Linked DNA regions of Xenopus tropicalis. The protein of the gene in region 1 interacts with the protein of each later gene in a biochemical or structural test. Links are inferred from orthologs where the notes say so. Each region holds a gene or a part of one and is shown in the gene's direction. Other genes may lie near its edges. The genes, in order: cflar and dedd2.

Region 1 (4,471 bases):
CGAGTCTTTTCTTTAAAAGATGCAAGCAGGGTAGGATTAAGCCTGTGAGGTCAATGCCCAGGTTTAGGTTTCCCAAAAAAATTCAAACATACAGGGAGTTGCCAGGCCAGCCTATGAAAAATTTGACTGCCACATGGGGTTTACCTAGCTTGTTAATTTTATGATCATAACTTTGTAACTAAAAAAATCTCGCATTGTACTTTTAAATTTGATTTAGCCTTGGAGTGTACCCTGCCATTTTTTGCATCAGGCAAGCAGGCCAAGATTGCAAAGGTAACAGGTAAAGTTGCAGGGAGCATATATAAATGAAAGACTATAAAAAAAAAAAAAGTAGAAACATTAGAAGAGCTATTTACGTATACATATACTTATCAGTGTATAGCCAGAGAAAAGCATCCCAGGTGTTCCCTTGACAATCAACCTGTCTATCCCTGCCCATCCTTCAGGCAATAATAAATGATATATGGGGACTGTTTTACATTAAAAAGTATTGTTGTTTTAAGTTTGGGGGAAAGCTATAAAACAATTTTATTTAAAGGGCCTTAAAAGAACTGTGCTGCAGAGTAAGTCCTGCTTATCCCACTGCATGTAATGGTGGCTTCTACTAAAACAATAGCATTTTTTGCATGTTACAGTGCCTATTGCAGTGTTCATTTTTATTTTAGATTGTGCCTATTGTAAAAGCTAACATACTATAAAGGGAAATCAGCATGGAACAGCTTTAAGTTAACAAATCTCCATTTATCATGGGCATGGCAGAAAATCTATTGGAGTTTAATGCTTTTTCTTTCTTATTGTACGTGCCAATGTCTAATCCATGTAATTCTGAAACACCTGGATGATCCTAGAAGGGGGAATTAATATTTTGTAAAGACATGGTTGCATTTTTAAACCCATCTGGCAAGATATGAAATGCAGCCAAAAGGCGCAGACAGCAAGGCTGACAGTAAGCAACGGCTTAGGTGGCACCCAAAGAGACCAGGATAAGCCATTACCCTTCCAGTAGAACTACTATTATTGGGGTAAAAACAAATATATCCGAGATGTTCAGTTAAGAAGATATTACAATCTGTATCTTAGGTAAATGAGAAGGCACAGGTTGAACAGCCGAGCAACAGGGAGGAATGCCTCGGCGCAGCGGCCTACCTATCTTTGTATGGAACACAGGCCGGGCGCAGCACGCAAGGCGCACGAACACGCCACCTTCGACATAGGCTAATTGGCAAATGCTTACCGAATATAGATCAGGCAGGAAACGGGCCGAACACTGGGGGCGGAGGATAACGGGAACCACACAGACACCACGTCCAAAATATTCCCCCCTTGTGAGCAGTTCGACGACCGGGAGAAAAAGAGAAAGGCCGGAACGCGTCACGGTACGTCACAGAGGGCGGGGAAAGGGGCGGTTCTATTGAAATTAGTTGTGTTCCTGCGCATGCGCCCTGTTGCGCCTGGAATTTCCGTGCCGGATACAAAGTATAAGAAATTTGCATTACTAATGACAGAGTTTAAAGCAGATTCCGTAAGAGCTTCAGATACTTCGAGTAACACAGTGGTCTCTACGGTAGGTATCCGCCTTCCCACCTCCCTCTTGGGCCATGTCATGGACTTTGCCTTTCTGGTATATAATAGCATTCTGCTTTTATTTCGCATGACGCAAACAAAGCAGCGCTTGTATCGTTATATGTGATAGTGGCGGGCTCTGCTTGTACATTCTGAGGTGTTTATAACGTTCAGCTTTATTCTCTTAACCTGTCTACATTATACAGGAGTAGGTTGCTATCTGTGTGACGTGTGCCTTGTTGCGATGCTTCCTTATTGCTGAAGACGGAAGCTTGATGTTGCCTTCTGCTCAAAGTTCTGTGGCAACGATAACCTGACTTTACATGAGCTGTGGCATGATATAGTCCCGGGCATGAACTCAGGCGCCTTTGTTTGTGTCAAAGCCTTTCCACTTTACGTTGGCAGCAACATGTCGCACTGGTTAGTAACGCAGTCTTGCAGCTCTGGGTTTTTAGTTTCACTTGCATAGCATAACGCACACACTAAAAAACTCACTGCCTTCTGCCACTCCTTATTTAAACCACATCCATTGTTTCTTGTATAACTCACTACAAGGGGAGTTTTTCTGGCAGGGTCTGTAGGATCGAGATGTTTACCAAGGACCAAGGTCTTGAAATGGGGACTAATGGGAAGCTTGTGATTGTTACCATAGATTGGAAGCTCCACTGGGACCAAGATTTATGGAAATGATCTATAATCAATCTTTGCAAAGCGCTGTGGAAAATGTGGGCACTATTCTTAATTATTCCTGTTCATTTCATGGAGGTAGGCAGAAGAAAGATTGGCAAAGCTCAGTTTACCTATAAATATAATTTTTTCCGACTTTTTTTGCATGAATAAATAGAAAGATTACTGGCTTGTAGGGACGGTTCATATAACTGATTTATGTATGTATGTATGATATGTGGGTGAAACTGCACACACAGAATGTATTCTTTATCACTATGAATGGTAGGGCATGGCCATACAAAGTGTATGTATTTAACTGATTTCAGAAGAAATGTTGAGTTTCGACATGCCTTACATTCTTATCCCTTTCAACAGTCCACTAAGAACGCCATGTTAAACAATGTACCATTAACCACCCTCTGTATACAGTAATTTTCTATCCATTTACAAACCGCATTACCAAGACTAATAGACCTTAGTATGGTACTTGTATTGCCAGACAGTTTTTGAACATTCATTTTACCTTGGAAAATTATGTGTGTTTTGATATAATTTTTTATTTTTTTTTCTTGGAGGCCACGTCTCCTGAACATGCTAATATCAAAAACTCTTAGCAGTAAACTTTCCAAATCACCACTCAAGAAATCTGCTTTCTTAAGTTTTCATGGCCCAAAATTCTAATAATTGTAGGTTTAACCCAAGCAACCATAAATTTCTGGAAAAAACATGTGCATCTGCTCCAAACTCCCAGGCTGATTCTTACAAGTTTTAAAATGGGGTTCACAGACACCTGCAGGCAAAAAACGATATCTTTGTTAGACTACAATTTTATTGATACTTTTTTATTTTGTGTAATAATTATTTTATTATATAGCCTTTCGCTTTAGGCCCTTTGCTATTCATATTCCATTCCTGCATTCAAACCACTGCCTGCCATGGTAAGTTTGACCAAACCAGATACCTGCTACAATGTCAAACTAGAGCTTATGACCAATGACAAATGGGTTCAGAATATCATTGTTTACAGTGATCCACAAAGTAAGTCTGGCAAAAAAAAATTTGGCTAGAGACCACATATAAAAGCTGCAACAACAAACCACTGTGCTTTGTTGCAGAAGCTAAATTGGCAGCAAAGAAAATTCTTTGCATTTTGGGGCCCACTATTGCCACATTTGGCTAATCTAAGCATATTGGATTTCTGGCTTGTGGGCATGCTCAGTCGTTCTAAGCTCAGATTACGAAACACGCCCTCTAGTCTAGCAGCCAGTGAAGAGATGGCATTGCTGGTTCTTATAGAAACTCGGCTCTAGCTGTCTGCTTCGATTTTTTTTCTCCTAACTTTCTCTCCTGAGCTCAGCTCTAACAAAGCAGAACTTTTATCAGACAGTTCTGCCTGTGTGAGCCTGTATTCTTGATGAAATGTATGCTGAATAAGGGTCTGTGTGTGTATGCTGTTTGCAGATTTAAATGTATCAGAGGAAAAATGGCCACCGGGTGATAGCTGCTATTTGCTTTAGAAAAATGTGATGGTGCTGGCAAACGGAGGGGATATATGCAGTACAAATGATGCCATTTGTGTGGGGGAGACATTCCTAACTGATATATATCGTAGGCAAATGTAGGCTTTAAATGTCCTTTAATGGATAGAGCTAAAAAAGGCACCAGTGACGTTACAACAGAGGAAGCAGATGTTGCAGGGTCCAGGGGACAGAGGCCTAGACCACAGGGTCTGCTTTCTCAATAGTTGTTAGAAATCCCTCCTCCCAAGCTGCTCTCTTACCTACACTGCCACGAGTGAGCAGGTGACATGGGCAGGTGGAGGGAGGGCCCAGGTAGGGGCTGCTGTTTTTGCCAGGTCCCTATAAAAAAAATTTCAGGGGGGCTGGTGTGCTGTTGGTACATAACTGGGAGGCATTTATTGTATTACTGTTCTGCCGTCTTTGACTGCATTGTGAAAACCACAAGTCTCATACAGTAGATAGGACTGGAAGCTTATGTAGGGTAATGATTTGCAATTTCCCCATGTACAGTGTTGATTAGGTTTTGTTTTTTTATAACTAGCCTAGTTGAGGGGGCAATCACTATTGGAATTTTTTTTAAATTCCTGAATACCCTCAGTATTCTAGTAATAAACATGTAAATTTATAGATGTGTCACGTTTTAAAACTTTTCTGGGAAATCCCATAGAACGTATGACAGTATGTGGGTTTGTAAGTTTCCCCCACCTATTCTTTTAACA
Region 2 (4,478 bases), on another chromosome or scaffold:
TAAATAAATTTAAAGCAACTGGACTCGTAACAGTATTCATTTAGCTTAAACAAAGTTTTGGCAATAGTTACCTTACACTGATGGATAAACTCTCAAACCCTTTAGCTCTCCTTACTACAAGTACAAATGCCTAGTTCCAACACTGTGGCAATCAATGCAGAGGCTAAAATAAAGGAATACAAACATCTGAAAAGATGTTTTTCTGAAAACTTGTGGGTACCCAGGCCTTTATCAAAACAAAATCAAAGTCAAAAAGACCAGACCAAACAGAAGGGAGGAACATAGCAGTCACAGCATTCCTTATGTTGCTGGAACATCAGAAAAATAATTGAGCAACACCCTGAGACAGAAGTTGGTGACCCTAAAGATCCCACACGTAAACACATGAAGAGTAATGTGGTCTATGCTCCCAGTGTAGTGAGGAGTGCTCAAATCTATACCTTGGGGAAACAAAACAACCTCTCTGTAAGAGAATGGCACAACATAGGAGGGCAGATTTCTCAGAAGACAGATGGTGTGAAAAAAGCCGTTTATGCCAGAGTGGAAAACCATCCCTGTGAGTTTCAGCTAACACCTAACTGAATAAGTTCATTGGAACCATTCTAATTGGGTGTCTGTGACTGTACAGTATTACCCTCAAGGGTTTCAATGCTGGGGAATTCCCTAACACTCTCTTGAATTGAAGAAGCAACTTGGATGAGTGGTGAAACATTTTCAAGAAGCCTCAGAAACCCCAGTTGCTTTAGACTTAATTCATTTATCATCACCTGGATGAATGAGAATCTTCATAAATGTACCTAGTTCTTTGTTTTTGGCTGTATGCTTTGGACTAGCCATGGCCATAATGACATAAGACTTATGCCCACAATGTTCCTTAAAACGGCCAAAAATGGTGATTCCGAGATACCCTTGATAACAATGGCACACACCCTGAGATTAAGGAGCAAGCCCATCATAACAATGATTCTCAGTGGAGGACGTCATGGCATATTTCATTATATAAAGGGCAAAGCAAACATTATGCAACATGGGTTCAAAGTTACAAATCTAGTCACCATAGCAACCCATGGGCAGGCAGCAATTAAACAACAAACGTCTGATTGTTATCTATTAGTTGTTCTCCTAGTGTAAACTTTCAGCCTTTTATATGACATTTCTCTGAGTCATCTAAATACTAAACAAATACAAGCTAAGTCGATAGTTTAGTTTCATCTCCACGCTTGTTATTAGAACTCCATAGCAACCGTTAGTCACATTTGCGCAGTTTCACGGCGATGCAGCCATGTCACGCAATCTATAATGCGTATCTGTTCTCTATGAATAGCTCTTATGTAAAGCCCGTCGGCTGGCTCTGTGTGATTGGCTGGGCAGCCTTTAGGTAGTCACATGTATGCGGCAGGTTGAGGTGTGTGACAGCGCAGCACTCCCATCAGCCTCACAATTCTAGCGCATGCGTAGAACATGTTTTGGCTGAAAGGGGCGTAGGTTTTGTTGCTGTTTTGCGGGCAAGCGCAGTGGCAGGTTTTGGTGGAAGGTACCAGAATCGTTGACGAGTTCGTTTCGGTGAGTTGTTGGGCGACACGGCTGCACTTCGATATTGGCAGTTAAGGAGTTGTTTTCCCTTGGTGAGTATGAGAAGAAAATGAAGGTTTGTTGAAGCAGGAAGGGGTTGCTAAGTCTGTCAGCAAAAACAGCTGTTCCCAAGCTAATGGCGAGATATGCCTGTCAGTAGCTACAAAATGGCTGCCGAGAGTTGTTTGGTTCCTCCCTAGCTATTTTGGGGCAACTACTTTTCTGCAGGAGGAATCTATACCCTCCAGCTGTTGGTTGTCCTACCCATGGCTGCTTGCCCTCCGGCTGAACTACCCAGCAGCCTCTGCTAGCACACAAACTTATATTCTATTAGCAGTGTTTGGTGGGAGAACGTTTTGGTGGTGGAACTCTGGAAACTGGGTTTTAACGATATATTCGTTTTCTGTGGTTTTAAAGTTGTAGTAAAGGACTTAGTCTATGTAGATCCGTGACTGTCCGTATTCTTTGCACTATTGGCCCCTGAAACACTGGAGCAGAAGGCAGCTGATCGAGCTGAACTGAAACAATGTTAAACCATTGGAGATGTTTAGCTGTAAATGTAGTAGTCAAATGTTGTTTAGCAGTGACATTAATGGGGCTGCAAATTGTCAATCTATATTGATTCAATAATAATGCATTAATAATGTCCCCCTCTCACATTGGGGTACCATCCCTTCAGGTGTGTAGGAATAGACATTTGTATAGGTTAGGGAGTTTCAGGTGCTGTAAATTATTAAGCAAAAGTATGAGAGCAGGTTTGTTGACAGGTTCAGCCATAAACTGGCATTGAAGGAAAGAGATTGTTGCTGGCTCTAGGGTAAGAATATATTTTTGTCCACCAAGCCCCCAAAATTGAGTAGATCTCTGCAAAATCATATCCTATATTCATGTTTGGATATGAATAGCCTTCAGTCTACATCAGTGATCCCCAACCAGTGGTTCTTGAGCAATATGTTGCTCCCCAACCCCTTGGATGTTGCTCCCAGGGGCCTCAAACTAGGTGCTTATTTTTGAATTTCTGGTTAGGAGGCAAGTTTTAGTTGTATACAAAGCCAGTGTAAAGCTAAACCGAGTCTTATATAGGCTGCCAGTCCACATAGGGGCTACCAAATAGCCAATTATAGCTTTTATTTGCACCCCCAGGAACCTTTTTCATGCTTGTGTTGCTCCCTAACTCTTTTTCCATTTGAATGTGGCTCACGGGTATAAAAGGTTGGGGATCCCTGGTCTACATACAGCTACTTAATACATAGTAGTTAAACTTCATGTTGTGTATAGCTAAAATTATTGCCCTTACTATATCTTATATTCCCTATTATAATCAACTAGCCGTGACTTTAGATAGAATAATTATTTTTTAGATTTCACAATTTCCCTATGGCTTGCTTTGGCCTCAGTCTGTTCATTTTACCTTAACTTCCTGGAGTGCTGAATAAGGGCTGTTATTGGTTAGTTGGTAGCCCTTATATGTACTGACAGCCTACAGGAGGTTGTGGTTATCAGTACATGTGATTTTTTATGCAACCAAGTCAGGAATTCAAATTTGCTGCTCCCACAGGGAGCAACATCCAAGGGGTTGGTGACCAACATGTTGCTCGTGAGCCACTGGCTGGGCATCACTGTTTTAATGGAAGTCTTCCTCTGCAGTAACAAACTCTTGGCCTATACACTTGTTTTTACCCCTTTTTGTTTTTGTCTGTCTCCTTATCTATAACATTTTAAACTCTTTGGAGCAGGGACTTCATCCCAACTGTGTACTGAAACACTTAATCATAGAATTACTATACCCCACTTTGTTTGTCTTGTAAAGCACTGTGTACGTATGTGGTGCTGTAAAAATAGATGCAGTGGGTGGTGGCTGCTGAACTGTAGAATTCACTCTGTCCCCAGGGGGCTTCAACGAGAGAAAAGAATATTCTACCCAGATCTCTTACACAGTTTTTTAATAATTAAAATTTCACATGGGGCTAGCCATATTCTTCATTTCCCAGGGTGCCACAACCATGTGGTCTGTGCTCTGATTAACTTTCACACTTTACTGCTGAGCTGCAAGTTGGAGTGATATCACCCCCCCCCCCCCCAGCAACGATCAGCAGAACAATGGGAAGGGAGCAAGATAGCAGCTCCCAGTAGATATCAGAATAGCACTCAATAGTAAGAAATCCAAGTCCGGCTTGGGACTCCTTTAGTTACATGGGAGTGGGAGAAACAATAGGTTACATGAAAGCAGTTCTAATGTGTAGCGCTGGCTCCTTCTGAAAGCTTAGACTACGGCACAATGCACTGAGATGGCGCCTACACACCCATATTACAAAATATATATATATATATTCATTCAAGAATACAATTTTAAATGGTAGAGTGAATTATTTGCTATGTAAACAGTGTAATTTAGAAATAAAAAGTATACCATAAAAATCATGACAGTATCTCTTTAAGACAGGCTCGTTTAGCCAAGATCCTGAGGTCCCTAGGGGGAGGCAGCATTAGACCTTTTAGAAACTGTCTGATACAGTAGCATGTTCAGATGTTTATGACCTTGTTAAGAGGTAAGAAGAGCCTGGAATGAATAATGCACGCAAGCTGTTTATTGGCCTGTGCATAAACATAGGCAAAGTATTAGCCCCTACACACCAAACACCCTTTCCATGTGCCTGCACTTGGAGCCACTACGTCAGCCCAAGTTTAGGCATACAGAGTGAACATTTGGGCACATGGAAAGGCCATTCAGAGTGTAGGGACAGAGGTTTATCTGCAGGCCGAGAATCAGCCCAGGTGGTCATAGCCAGAAAACCAGTGCCCACAAACATATGGGGATATTCTGATGGTTTTTTCCACACATAGTTAGTGTCACAATGGATAGTAGACTATATTCTTGAATCAGGGTGCCCCATGATATTTGGTAC

Evidence for each region.
Region 2: the proteins of cflar (region 1) and dedd2 form a complex in vitro, tested with the Homo sapiens proteins (2 studies listed by BioGRID). The link is inferred for Xenopus tropicalis from reciprocal best matches to the Homo sapiens genes CFLAR and DEDD2.

What each region holds. Positions count from the first base shown.
Region 1 is NC_030685.2:54,008,870-54,013,340, reverse strand, and holds the start of cflar (CASP8 and FADD-like apoptosis regulator), read left to right. Parts: upstream 1-1,405; 5' UTR 1,406-1,435; coding exon 1,436-1,564; intron 1,565-1,674; exon of another isoform or gene 1,675-1,983; intron 1,984-2,037; exon of another isoform or gene 2,038-2,286; coding exon of another isoform or gene 2,287-2,328; intron 2,329-4,471. UniProt on the Homo sapiens protein: Apoptosis regulator protein which may function as a crucial link between cell survival and cell death pathways in mammalian cells. Acts as an inhibitor of TNFRSF6 mediated apoptosis.
Region 2 is NC_030683.2:107,295,047-107,299,524, reverse strand, and holds the start of dedd2 (DNA-binding death effector domain-containing protein 2), read left to right. Parts: upstream 1-1,457; 5' UTR 1,458-1,625; intron 1,626-4,478. UniProt on the Homo sapiens protein: May play a critical role in death receptor-induced apoptosis and may target CASP8 and CASP10 to the nucleus. May regulate degradation of intermediate filaments during apoptosis.